Stegostoma tigrinum: one gene and its partner. The protein of the gene in region 2 purifies or fractionates together with the protein of the main gene of each other region. This does not show direct contact. Links are inferred from orthologs where the notes say so. Each region holds a gene or a part of one and is shown on either strand. Other genes may lie near its edges.

Region 1 (7,101 bases), on a different chromosome or scaffold from region 2:
TGCAAATTATGTTGGGTTTAACATTGTTACGATTATCATATTCTGCGAGGAAGCTTTACAATAAAGGTAAGTGTGACAAATTGTGAATTTTTCTTATTTTGTTCAACAATTTTTCCTGTAAGGCATTATTATTGTCTTTGATCTTCTATTGTGTACTGAACATATCCAATTGACACACATTATAAAATGGGTGCATTGCTTGCAAATTGATCATTTATTTATTAACTCTTGCTTATGGTGGAACTTTACTGTACCTCTTTACTCTGTATCAGTCACCCCATGAGGTGATTGATGGGTTGGGTATGCTGTTGAAACTTTGAGATCCACTAGTTCTTCCATGGGTCACTTTTCAACATTGCAAAAAAGAGATCAGATGTCAAGCTCCTTTAAGTCGTTCATTGTTCTTTTCAGGACAAAACTTTGCATAGTCTACTTGTATGTTTGTCTTTCTCTATGTTTGTCTTCTTCAATTCAATGTTATTGCTCTCGATGTAAAAATATTCATCTAACTTTGTTTATGCTTTTGTTTGCTGGTCAGACATGAAATCTTCCCCAATTTGTTTCCTCTGAAGTTGTTATTTAATGTTGACTTTCCAACAGTTCAATGCATCTGAAGGAAGATTTTGCAGGGACTAGCAATTTTCAGTGGCCTGAATAGGTTGGATACAGTGGGGTTGTTTGACTGGATGTTTAACTGAAGTGTATATACCTGAGGTGCCAAGATAGAGTGACAGGAATCCATATCCACTGGCAGCAATGTTAACATCAATAACATTGTTTAAAGTAATCTTGGAAGGATTAAAGAGGCATTACATTCTCTCCTAGATTATTGGAGGAAGAGGGTTGACCTAAGTGCTTAAAAGGATGCAGAATCCCTCATTGTCTTTAATTTAAAAAAAATACACACTTTAGCTAACCTTCAAAATGTTAGTTGAGGAACTTGGATATAGGATGAGGCCGGACCTTTTTATTAGCTGTCACATCATGCTGGATTGTCTTTGTTTCTCTAGCTGGAAAGTTTGCCCTCTTTGGGAGTGGGCTGGTAGGTTGGGAATGTAAAATCAGCTGGCAGGAGGTGAGGAATGTGCTGTGCTCAATGTTTACTTGTGCTGGCCTTTGCCTAATAATGGGGTAGGTAGGTGTTCACTGGCATCCTTGCCTTTGAGCCAACTGAGGTCCTTATATGGTCAATTCGATTGGCACTCTAGCTCACTCAAGATATAATATTGACGTATGGTTCCAAAAAGGGGTTAATGTAGACAAAAGCGATAGCTGTTTACACCTAATGTGGACTGCAACATTACGGAAATAAACATAAATGCTTATGTCGGATGACTGTGTAAATAAACACAACTGGTTATTGGTGTATTCAGAACAATTTTTTAAGTTGTCTTCAACCCTACTCATTTTTTCAGCTCTACTTACTAACACCACCTTTTCACGGCACGTACATATCTGGCGTGTGGTTTAAAGTTCGGCAGACATTCCTTCAGAATATTTTCACTTTTACTTCGCCAGTTTAAACACTTCTTTTCAACACTAAAATAATGTAGGAAAAGAAAATGTAGCTCAGATCTTTGAGATTCAGAGCTAAGATAATTTTGCGCCAGTGGACTAGAAATTAAGACCAGAAGGTGAGAAACGAGGGGGCGCAACAACACCACACTTTGCGACTGCCCACATCACATTCACGTCAAACCCAAATAATACGGCACAAACCCCTTCGTATTTATTCCAGGTAGCCTTCAAAACCAAATTTAATTACAGAGGCTAAACGTAGTTCTGGAAGGTGCAAAGCCGTTTGCTATGTATATTTGTACCTAATTATAAAAATATAAACATACACCGTACACCACACAATGAGTAACCTCCCAATATTCACCGTGCACCAGGACCAGTAACTTTCCAATATATACCTGAGCTGTGCACCAGAACCGGTAGCTCCTCGGTTAATAAAAACCGAAAGAACTGCGGATGCTGTAAATCAGGAACAAAAACAAAGTTGCTGGAAAAGCTCAGCAGCTGAGCTTTTCCAGCAGCTTTGTTTTTGCTCCTCAATTTATACCGTGCGCCACAATCAGAGATTGTCTTAGAACGGTGAGATGGATGACTTCCTTCGAGCTAAGTGATTGTTATCGCTCCTTTCCAGCAGATAATATTCCACATTGTAGGTAAACTAATCTAATCTAATCTAAAACTCTGCTTTTCGATGATCCAGAGGACCATTAAGAGGGGTTTAACATATTCCGGGCAAAGAAATAGCGATCTTAACCGTAACTAAAGCAATTACTATGTTTTTCCCTCCATAGAGATTTTATCTCCCTGCATATGTTTGATGTAATTAAGTTAACCCCCACCCCGCACCCTATTCCAGGCAGCGCGTCTGTAGAAAACATCTTTCTGGTAGCTATGCGGTGAGAGATAGTAGGAACTGCCGATGCTGGAGAATCTGAGATAACAAGGCGTAGAGCTGGATGAACACAGCAGGCGAAGCAGCATCAGAGGAGCAGGAAGGCTGACGTTTCAGGCCTGAACACATCTTCAGAAAAAAGGTACAAGCACGAAACATCAGCTTTCCTGCTCCTCTGATGCTGCTTGGTCTGCTGTGTTCATCCAGCTCTACACCTTGTTAGTTCTGGTAGCTATGGCGACTGTACAAAAAATGACCTTCCAGATTACATTCACTGCGAGCATCGCTGCTGGAGAGCTGGGCCATTCTCTCCGATTATGGGTATAACAACATGATGCAACTGAACGTTATCATTGACATGCTTTCAATAAATTACGGGCCCAATCTTGAAAAAAAATCCTGGAAAATGATAATTTTGCTTGTTTTTCTTCTTGTCATCCCAGTTTATTTGCCGGGTAGTGGAGAATCTAAAATGCCACACGCGGGCACTTTTGCATTTTGATATGTACCTCGGAATGGCCTACACAAACAAAAACAGAGCTTGTGCTCCTAAGACGCTGCTTGGCCTGCTGTGTCCATCCAGCTTCACACTTTGTTATCTCAGATTCTCCAGCATCTGCAGTTCCCATTATCTCAGTGCAGGAGAAACTCGTCAGGCCTGGTCGCATCTGTGGAGAGGAAGCAGAGTTAACGTTTCGGGCGCAGTGATCCTTCTTCCGAACGGGGAATAGCTTACACTGATTTTTTTCTAGGCCTTTGATGTTAACAATATTCTACGACATAAGATTACTTCAAATCAGCTGGCAATGTTCCAGAGTGTAATTCAAATGTTTAGGTTATTTTGTAATAATCCTTTGTAACACTATATTTCTAATGCAAAACATGCCAGTCAAAAAATGTTTTGATCACACTCGGTGAAATCAAATCAAAAGTTACTACGAATTCTACGTTTCTGTTGTAACTCCTGTGTGCTTCTGGGCAGGCTCCTTTTAGCGGAGTTCTGGCTCGAATAATACAAAAAATATCCATTGCATTTATTTTCCCAACAGTAAACAGTTAATCGCAAATCGTCCAGGATTCAGTTCATATATTGAACTACATCCCAATACAGAGCACAAGTGGATTGCTACAATATTAGGTCAACTTGCCACTCAACCTTAATAATATCTCCAAACATCAACACGTCACCAATGAGTTATTTTTTAAATAGTTTTGTCTTCTCGATAGAATAGTTGGTAAAAGACCGTCGGAAGTTTACTCTTGAAGTCACGTTATTTTGCAAAGAAAACTCCATTTATGGAAGGAGTAAAACAAAGGCACGTGCTGGAGATCTGAAGATTAAACCAGTGAAAGGTGGTAAACGGTATTGTTTAATATCAGGCCTCCGTGACTGACACTGCTGGTTCTTAACTCTCTTGAGGAGCGAGCAGTCCACGTGGACTTTAAAAGTTTGAAATTTGTTTGAAATAAGTATGGGGTTAGCGTTAACAAATATACACCAGTTGAATCACAGTGTTAATGTTAGGGAGATGCTGAGCAGCTTGCACGCTCGGGCTGTGAGATGTACTGGTAACAGTCACAATCTGTAACAGGTCCGCGGCTGCAGCATAGATAGACGACTAACAGCCGGGGGCTACCGCTGTGCAAGGAGCGGTGGGGTAGAGGGGACCGAAGCCTGCCGGTTCCCTGAAACTTTCAGAGGAGGTCATCGCAAGCCGTGACGTCACGAGTCAGGTGACTCAAAACTTTTTTTGAGCTAAAAGCCCTTTAAATCGGGCAGCGGACAGTGTACAGGCTAGAGACAGGTTACTCTTTCACCTAGAAGCGGTGCAACATTCAGCCGATTAGTTTTACTGCTCCCGAGCTGAACAATTCGAAGCCTCGTCCACATTTTCTTCCGACACTTTGTTGGGTAAGTTGCACAGCTTGCTTCTCACTGCATCTGTCTCAGAGAGAGAGAGAGAGAGAGAAAACCAAGTTTCCGAGAGTTCACATTCACTTTTCGGCTGGTGAAAGTAACTCTCTTCCACCGTATCGTGCGTTTTAAAGTGATGTTGTTCTTTCGAGGGATTAATAGTTTCAAAACTGCCCTGCACTGTTGATCTTAAAGGATTGTTCGGGAACATTTAAGAGATGAATGGAATACACTCCAACTGTTTTAGATCCCACATGCAGAGGAATATATAATCACTAATTTTCCAAAGACTTGAATTTACAAAACTTGCCCAGAATCTAACTTGTCCCAGCGTTCAAGAGCAGGAAAAAGAAACGGATATTACTGTTCATTAACTAATTCCTCTTTACCTTCAAACATTTAGCCTGATCTAGCCGCATCTTTTACGTGCACTGATTTCTTAAAGTCACTATGAGTTGGAGTAAGTTCTAGGCGATGTTAAAAACGCGGCTTTTTCGACTTAAACCTTACGTTTTCCGTCCAAAGTGACCAACCGTCTTCGAGGTTAGTTTAGAAATATTAGCTAGCAGTCTTATTCACACAACCAGCCCCACGTCCCCGTGCTTCCTACCTCTTGGGGTGGGGGGAAGCAAAGTTCGGAGAGATGAAGTGTACTGTTGAGCAGTTGAGCTGAAGTGAAGAGAAACTTCTCCGGGTTCCCGTTGGCAGGTGCCCTTGTCCAGTGAAGCATATACCTTCAGACAGGACAGAGTTTGTGATGTAGCGTCCCTGGACCCCCCCCCCCCCCCCCGCCCCAGGACAGGAGACCCGCGTAAAGCCCTACACCCGTTGCCCCAGCCATGCATGGTAACGTACATAGGCTAGTTAACAGAATTGGCGTATTTTGTGGCGCTGTGGTACAGTCTAAGGACCAAATTTGACTCAGAAACCAACTTTGCAACAACTTATACAACTTTTAAAGCAATGGAAAAACCCAGTGCAATTCCCGGGAGCTATATAAAGGGAGGTGACCCGGGTTCCAAGTCTCACCATCCTACAGAGAGGCGTATAGCACCATCCCTGAACAGGTCGATTGGGAAATTATCTACGTCCAGTCAAGCAAATATGTGTGTTACTTGTGAGTTTGTGGAATCCTAATTACATTAATACGATCGCAAACAACAGACTACTTTTCTAGTTACCTGTGTGATTAACAGTTGTATTATCTACCATTCAGTATACGGATAAGGGCACGTTAATGACTATCACGTTAGAATCGAGCCAGCGCAAATTTCATTTTAGATCCATTACAGAGTGAAACGGCTGGGAATCAAGGACTGAGAGGGATTTTACCCATCACTAGATGCAAATTGTAAAACTTAGCAATGAAGTTGGAGAAAAGATACATCAGTTAAGCACGCATTTTGATATGAAGTCAAATATGCCACCCCTTTTAAAAAGAAGTGCCCATGTACAGTGCGGAGCTGGACGAACACAGCAGATCAGGCAGCGCTGGAGAAGCGAGAAAGTCTAAGTCAGATGAGGAGTCCCAATCCGAAACATTGACTTTTCTGCTCCTCTGAAGCTGCCTGACCTGCTGTGTTCCTCCAGCTCCGCACTGTATCGACTCTGAATCCATCATCTCCTTTAAAAAAAATTACATCTCTTTTGGAGAACGGTTCATGAAAGAAGCCAAAAATGACTTTAAGAAGGATCGTGTTCACCGAAATGCTCTAGAAATGACACACTCTGTACATGATGAGGTGGCTTGTTCGCGAAAGGTGGTTTTGAATAAACCTGAAGCAATATTTAGTTCAGACATCACAGACTGCAAACTCCGGAGCAGGAGAAATCACCGAGTTACAAGTTCAAACGAAAAGTTTCCAATGAATGTAGACATCAAAATAAAACAACTCTTCAAACTCTATGCTGCTTTGATTTCTTTTTCCCAAGGACTAGATTGTCTCCTAAAATATAAAATTTGGCTTAGAAACCAACTTCACAGCAATTTGTATAGCTTTTCAACACAATAGAAATACTCAGTGCAACTCACGGAGCTTTGTAAAAAAAACACGAAACGTGACACCAAGTCACATAAAGAGATGCTTTGTGAAAGAAGTTACTTTTAAGAAGCACCTTTCCTCTTGTAAAGTGTAGAGGTGAAGGGTGGGTATTCGAAATTTAGGGATTAAATAGAGAAAAGCACAGCCACTTATGATGGGACAATTAAGGAAGGGGTATACAAAAGGTGAGATCTAAAGGAGTGCAGATATCTTGATGGATTCTTCGACTAGGGACCATTGAAGCAACAGGAAAGAGTGAGAGTATGGAGGGATATGAAACTAAGGGGTGAACATCTTAAAATGAAGATGTTGTTTGACTGGGTGCCAATGTGGTACAGTGAGCACAGAGGTAATAGGGAAATGAACCTTGGGAGATCAGCCAAGGGTACATTAAGATTATTAAATTCAGACATAACACAACTGAGGGCTCCAGCAGCAGATGAACTGCCATGGATGAAGTTGGGTGATTTTACAGCAGTGGGAAAAGATAATCTTCAAATTGCCATAATAAGGTAGAATCTCATATCAGGATCAAATCTGATGCTAACACTGTGAACATATTGGCTTAATCCCAGACTGTTGCTATCATTACCAGGGAAAGGGATAGAGTCAGTTGTTAGGGTATAAAGTTTGCAGAGGGGATTAAAAACAACTTTTAGTCTTCCCAGTTTTTAATTAGAGGAAACCCTCTGCTCATTACAGCTAATGTTAAGCAGTCTTATAATATAGCAACA
Region 2 (7,109 bases):
TGAGCACTTTGGAGAGAGTGACCATAATTTGGTCATGTTTAGTTTAGCGATGGAAAGGGGTAGGAACATGCCACAGGGCAAGAGTTATAGAAGGGGGAAGGGTAATTATAATGCGATTAGGCAAGACTCAGGAGGCATAGAATGGGGTAGCAAAATGTAGGGGATGGGGACAATCGAAATGTGGAGCTGGTTTAAGGAACAGATATTGCATGTCCTTGATAGGTATGTCCCTGTCAGGCAGGGAGGAAGCGATAAGGTAAGGAAACCGTGGTTTACTAAAGAAATTGTATCTCTTGTTAAGCGGAAGAGGGAGGCTTATGTGATGATGAGACAAGATAGCTCAGATGAGGCTATGGAGAATTACAGATTAGCTAGGAAGGGTTTAAAGAGAGAGTTAAGAAGAGCAAGGAGGGGATATGAGCAGACATTGGCAGGTAGAATAAAGGAGAACCCTAAAGCTTTCTATAGGTATGTGAGGAATAAGAGGATGACTAAAGTAGGAATAGGGCCAGTCAAAGACAGAAGTGGGAAGTTGTGTATGGACCCTGTGGAGATTGGAGATGTCATAAATGAATATTTCTCATCTGTTTTCACTCAGGAAAAGGAGAATATTGTAGAGGAGAAGACTGAGTTACAGGCTACTAGAATTGAAAGGATTAAGGTTAGTAAGGAGGAGGTGTTATCAATTCTAGAAAGTGTGAAGATAGATAAACGACCTGGGCCAGATGGGATTTTTCTGAGGATTCTCTGGGAAGCAAGGGTGGTGGAGCCTTTAGCCTTGATCTTTGAGTCCTCATTTAGTACCAGAGGACTGGAGGATTGCAAATGTTGTGCCCTTGTTCAAGAAGGGCAGTAGAGATGACCCAGGTAATTATAGACCTGTGAGCCTTACGTCTGTTGTAGGAAAAGTTTTGGAAAGGATTATAAGAGATAGGATTTACAATCATCTAGCAAGCAACAATTTGATTGGAGATAGTCAACATAGATTCGTAAAGGGCAGGTCGTGTCTCACAAACCTCACTGAATTTTTTGAGAAGGTGACCAAGCATGTGGATGAAGGTAGGGCAGTTGACGTGGTGTACATGGACTTCAGTAAAGCCTCTGATAAGGTTCCACATGGTAGGCTATTGGAGAAAATACGGAGGCATGGGATTGAAGGAGATTTAGCAGTTTGGATTAGAAACTGGTTTTCTGCAAGAAGGCAACAAGTGGTGGTTCATAGAAAATATTCAGCCTGGAATCCGGTTACTAGTGGTGTGCCTCAAGGATCTGTTTTGGGATCACTGCTATTTGTGATTTTTATAAATGACTTGGACACAGGCATAGGTGCTTGGGTTAGTAAGTTTGCAGATGACACTAAAATCGGTGGAGGGGTGGACAGCGTGGAAGAATATTGCAGGTTGCAGGGAGACTTGGATAAACTACAGAATTGGGCTGAAAGGTGGCAAATGGAGTTCAATGCAGATAAATGTGAGGTGATTAACTTTGGGAAGAATAATAGGAAGGCAGAATACTGGGTCAATGGAAAGATTCTTGGTTGTGTGGACGTGCAGAGGGATCTCGGTGTTCATGTACATAGATCGCTGAAAGTTGCCACTCAGGTTGATCGTGCTGTTAAGAAGGCTTACAGTGTGTTAGGTTTTATTGGTCGAGGGATTGAGTTCCAGAGTGGTGATGTCATGCTGCAACTGTACAAAACGCTAGTGCGGCCTCACTTGGAATGTTGCATGCAGTTCTGGTCGCCCCATTACAGGAAGGATGTGGAAGCATTGGAAAAGGCGCAGAGGAGATTTATCAGGATGTTGCCTGGTCTAGAGCAAAGGCCTTATGAAGAAAGGCTGAGGGACCTGGGTCTGTTCTCATTGGAGAGAAGAAGACTAAGAGGGGATTTAATAGAGACATACAAGATGATCAGAGGATTAGATAGGGTGGACAGTGAGTGTCTTTTTCGGAGGATGATGACGTCAGCTTGTATGAGGGGGCATAGCTACAAATTGAGGGGTGATAGATTTAAGACAGATGCCACAGGCAGGTTCTTTATTCAGAGAGTGGTAAGGGTGTGGAACGCCCTGCCTGCCAATGTAGTTAACAGCCACATGCGGGGCATTTAACAGTCCTTGGATAAGCAGATGAATAATGATGGGATAGTGTAGGGGGATGGGCTTAGATTAGTTCACAGGTCGGCACAACATTGAGGGCTGAAGGGCCTGTTCTGTGCTGTATTGGTCTATGTTCTATGACACTGGGGCAGATGAAAAGCCATGAGTAACTCTCCTGACAGCTATTGTACCTGCAGCTTTTTCAGTTATTAGGACCCTAACTTTCCCTGAGGCACCAGATAGTCAAATTTTTCAAGAGTTGATGGATTTAGTTAGGGAATATTTGACATCCCAAGCTACCTCTAATTCCAAGACATAATCGGGTTTTTTTGGCATTTCAAGAATTGGGCACTTCCACACTGGGATTTGTGACAAGGCAGAGGCATGTAACATTGGTCTAACCCTTAATGAGATACTAAGAGGCTGTTTGGTACGTGGGATTAATGATGTAACCATGCAAAAGCACCGATTAGCTGAACCCAAATGACTTCAAACAGGAACTACAGCTGGCTTTGTCATTAGAAAATGCAGCAAGTGGAGCTTCGAGTTTCAGGAAATGCAAATAGAAGTGGACATTATTCCCAGGCTGAATCATTTTGCAGGACACCACTTGAATGAAGGCAACTGTATAGCCTCACTCAGGACATATTCTGAACTGGGGGACTATAGGTCAGCCCACAGCAAACCACGACCAAACAGCTAACATTCTCTTCAAATTGAGGCCAGCAAGCCATTGTCGATGCTGCCAGTATGTAGATGTGAGATAGCAGAAGCGCATCACTTGTTCTGAACCAAGTAACAGAACTCATAGGCCAATATCCACAGAGTTGCTAATGGGAAGCAAACATCTGCAACAGGTTAAATCTGATCTTCCTGGAGCTGTGGGGGAAGCATAAAACGGCATCAAGAACAACAAGGCCAGACACAAGACTCTGTGAAGCAAGGGAGACAGTTTACTTCAGGGGATGAAGTTTGGTACTGAAACCACAGAAATGGCCCTGCATGGGTAAGACACATGGTCCACACGAAGTCAGGTCCTATGATATAGAAAGAGATAATGGGAACTGCAGATGCTGGAGAATTCCAAGGTGATAAAATGTGAGGCTGGATGAACACAGCAGGCCAAGCAGCATCTCAGGAGCACAAAAACTGACGTTTCGGGCCAAGACCCTTCATCAGAGAGCCTCTGATGAAGGGTCTAGGCCCGAAACGTCAGCTTTTGTGCTCCTGAGATGCTGCTTGGCCTGCTGTGTTCATCCAGCCTCACATTTTATTATCTATGATATAGAAAGTTTGGATAGGTGACGTGGTCCTGAACATATGGACCACATGAAAGATGCAAACTCACAAAAGAAGCAGGGGCGAAACATAGCTGGCCCCTCAGATAACCAGAAAGGCTGTTGAAGCCAGTGGGTTCTTCCTCCTCCATCCAGCATTGAAGAAACCTCAGTCGGAGATGGACAAAGTCGATGTTGCAGCGTCAACACCTTTACTGCTTAGAAAAAAAGGACAAATTTCTTTCAAGATGCTTCGGGCACAAGAGGCATGCTATGGTCTGGTACATGTTGCCCGTATCGGAGGTTGTGTTGGAGGAACCAGGCCCAGTGCAAAAATGCACGGAGAGGCTACAAGGCAAAAACAGGCCTATGTCCCAGAATTTACAGGGGAGCGATGTAGTGATAATAATGTCATCAGTTCTGTTCACTCTGAGACTGGCTCTGTGGATTGGACTAGTTGCAAATAATAGGCTTGTGTAAATAAAGGGTGACTAGGTGACGGCATGCCGGCCTCTGTGGAGCTATGTCAGAAAGATTCAGAGATAAATGATCACCAGGCCAGCAATTGGCCGCACTTGCTCTTTAGTCACTGGCATGGGTTTGAGATTGGTTTTGGCACGCGAAGAGATGTGAGTTTACAGACATTCACACAGAGAGATACACTTCGACAGAAAATTTATTCCACCTCGAAATCCAGTGCCAGGTTTTGTTTGTGATGTTAAAGTTCACGAACTTTTGTTCAGTGCATGATGGGCTAAAGTGTAGGAAACAGCATGGCGGGGCATTTTACACTCACTCAGGTAAAAACCAGATCTTATTATTTAAAACACCGAGGCTGTTCGTTTTAATTTATTTATGTTAGCGAGAGTGGAAACAAAGAGTGGGGGTGGGGTCTGGTTGGAGAAATACGGCTTTTGTGACTGAGAGGAAATGAATTGTTGTGCAGTTGGGGTGCCATTGCACTGGGGCCTGTGAGGCACCAAGAGCCGGGATAAAGGGAACAGTTTGTGGGCGTAGTTTGTGTGAAAGTGCGATTTTGTTTAGGATTTGGAGGATTTGCTGGGCCTCCTTTATTTTTGCGTAAACTCAAGCGGCCAGGAGACTATTGGATGCGGTAGATCGGGCGGTCACTTTATTACGGTTGGGAGGGTGGACCCATGTAGCATTTAAACTGCACCCGGAACATACACTGATGTAAGTTGTAAACAAATGTCTCAAAACTAAGGAAACGGCGTATGCTGGCATTTGAAGCTGATGTCGATTTACCAGTATGTTTCTTTTCTGTAGTATTTCTCATTACATAAGAACACAACGTAAGAACGAGGAGCAGGGGTAGGCCACCCAGCCCCTCGAGCGTCCGCTCGCCAATCAATCAGATCATGGCTGATCTTTTTGAGTCTCAAGTCCACGTACCCGCCCGTACACCATAACCCTTAATTCCTTTAGTGTTCAGAAATTTATCTAGCCTTGGCCTTAAACACGTTCAACGAGGCTGCTTCACTGGGCAGGGAATTCCACAGATTCGCAATCCTTTGGGTGAAGAAGTATCTCCTGACCTCAGTCCTACATCGGCTTCTCTTTATTTTGAGGCTATGCCCCTAGTCTGAGTTGCACCTGCTGAATGAAACAACCGCCCTGCCTCCTCCATATCTATTCTTTTCATAATCTTCTACTTTTCTATAATATCTCCCCTCATTCTTGTGAATTCCAATGAGTATAATCCCTGATCTTCCTGGAGCTATAGGGGGAGCATGAAACAGCATCAAGAACACCAAGGCCAGATACAAGACTCTGTTTTGTAGAGTTTCAGTTTCTCCTCATAATCCATCCCCTCAACTCTGGAATTCCACTTAACATTTCCTGTCCAGCCTTATTTCCACGCAAGTTGTGCATCATGCACCTTCGTACTTTTATCATTCTCAAACATATGTTATGGTGTGTAGATTACCTGAAAAATGTAACAACATAGAATGGGTACAGTACATGAGGAGGCCATTTGTTCTATCATGTATGTGTCAGCTGTCTGCCAGAGCAACACAGTTAGCCACATGTCTTGTTTGTTTCTCCCTATGGGCCTGCACGTTTTTGGTCTGTAGATAATTATTCAGTTTCATGTTGAAAGCCATGACTGAATATGCCTTCGTCACGTTCTGTGGGAGATACCAGACAATTATTCACCTGCAGCCCTTGGCTAAACTGTGGGCTATCTCCAAGGAACCCTGGCCCCCCCAAAGATGTGACATTCCGGCCTGTCAGTGTGTTGACATGCCCTGGTATCCATTAACCACTTGTAGGCCCTCTAAAACATGCTTTAAGGTGAGCAAATTGCCTAAAAAATGTTATAAAATAGAATCTTGCCTTAATGTTAATCAACTAAGTATAGGCTCTGCATCAGTAGTACCCACTGCATTGTGTCTCTGGTTCAGGAGAATCAAAAGCACTGGAGTGGAGTCCGATAGGTAGTTGTACATGTTCTTTTGAATTTAGTCTATACTGTTGGGAGACAATTGCAGATGTTGGGCAAGTACTTGTCTTTATATCCCACTCAGGCTCTGCAGCCAAATAAAAACAAATGAAGACTTCCTCTTCTCTCTTTAGTTGTGGCACTTGTAGCAAATCTTTGCCTTTCTAGAACTGGCATGTTCCACCATTGAAAGAAATGCTGCTGCTCGTCTCATTTGTCCTCACCAGAGTTATAGAACATAGAACATTACAGCACAGTACAGGCCCTTCGGCCCGTGATGTTGTGCCAGCCTGTCATACCGATCTCAAGCCCATCTAACCTACACTATTCCATGTACGTCCATATGCTTGTCCAATGACGACTTAAATGTACCTAAAGTTGGCAAATCTACTACCGTTGCAGGCAAAGTGTTCCATTCCCTTACTACTCTCTGAGTAAAGAAACCACCTCTGACATCTGTCCTATATCTTTCACCCCTCAATTTAAAGCTATGCCCCCTCGTGTGCACCATCACCATCCTAGGAAAAAGGCTCTCCCTATCCACCCTATCTAACCCTCTGATTATTTTATATGTTTCAATTAAGTCACCTCTCAACCTTCTTCTCTCTAATGAAAACAGCCTCAAGTCCCTCAGCCTTTCCTCGTAAGACCTTCCCTCCAGACCAGGCAACATCCTAGTAAATCTCCTCTGCACCCTTTCCAAAACTTCCACATCCTTCTTATAATGCGGTGACCAGAACTGTACACAATACTCCAAGTGCGGCCGCACCAGAGTTTTGTACAGTTGCAGCATAACCTCTTGGTTCTGGAACTCAATCACTCTATTAATAAAAGCTAAAACACTGTATGCCTTCTTAACAGCCCTGCCAACCTGGGTGGCAAAAGGATCTGTGTACATGGACACCGAGATCTCTCTGCTCGTCTACACTACTAAGAATCTTACCATTAGCCCTGTACTTTGCCTTCCGGTTACTCCTACCAAAGTGCATCACCTCACACTTGTCTGCATTAAACTCCATTTGCCACCTCTCAGCCCAGCTCTGCAGCTTATCTATGTCTCTTGCAACCTACAGCATCCTTCATCACTATCCACAACTCCACCGACCTTAGTGTCATATGCAAATTTACTAACCCATCCTTCTATGCCCTCATCCAGGTCATTTATAAAAATGACAAACAGCAGTGGACCCAACACCGACCCTTGCGGTACACCACTAGTAACTGGTCTCCAGGATGAACATTTCCCATCAACTACCACCCTCTGTCTTC

What was found. The genes of interacting proteins can lie anywhere in the genome.
Region 1: the proteins of eps15 (region 2) and gja1b purify together in Homo sapiens (affinity purification with western blotting; 3 studies listed by BioGRID). This does not show direct contact. The link is inferred for Stegostoma tigrinum from reciprocal best matches to the Homo sapiens genes EPS15 and GJA1.

What each region holds. Positions count from the first base shown.
Region 1 is NC_081357.1:64,036,859-64,043,959, forward strand, and holds the start of gja1b (gap junction alpha-1 protein), read left to right. Parts: upstream 1-4,090; 5' UTR 4,091-4,322; intron 4,323-7,101. UniProt on the Homo sapiens protein: Gap junction protein that acts as a regulator of bladder capacity. A gap junction consists of a cluster of closely packed pairs of transmembrane channels, the connexons, through which materials of low MW diffuse from one cell to a neighboring cell.
Region 2 is NC_081361.1:63,483,848-63,490,956, reverse strand, and holds the start of eps15 (epidermal growth factor receptor substrate 15), read left to right. Parts: upstream 1-4,089; 5' UTR 4,090-4,149; coding exon 4,150-4,176; intron 4,177-7,109. UniProt on the Homo sapiens protein: Involved in cell growth regulation. May be involved in the regulation of mitogenic signals and control of cell proliferation. Involved in the internalization of ligand-inducible receptors of the receptor tyrosine kinase (RTK) type, in particular EGFR.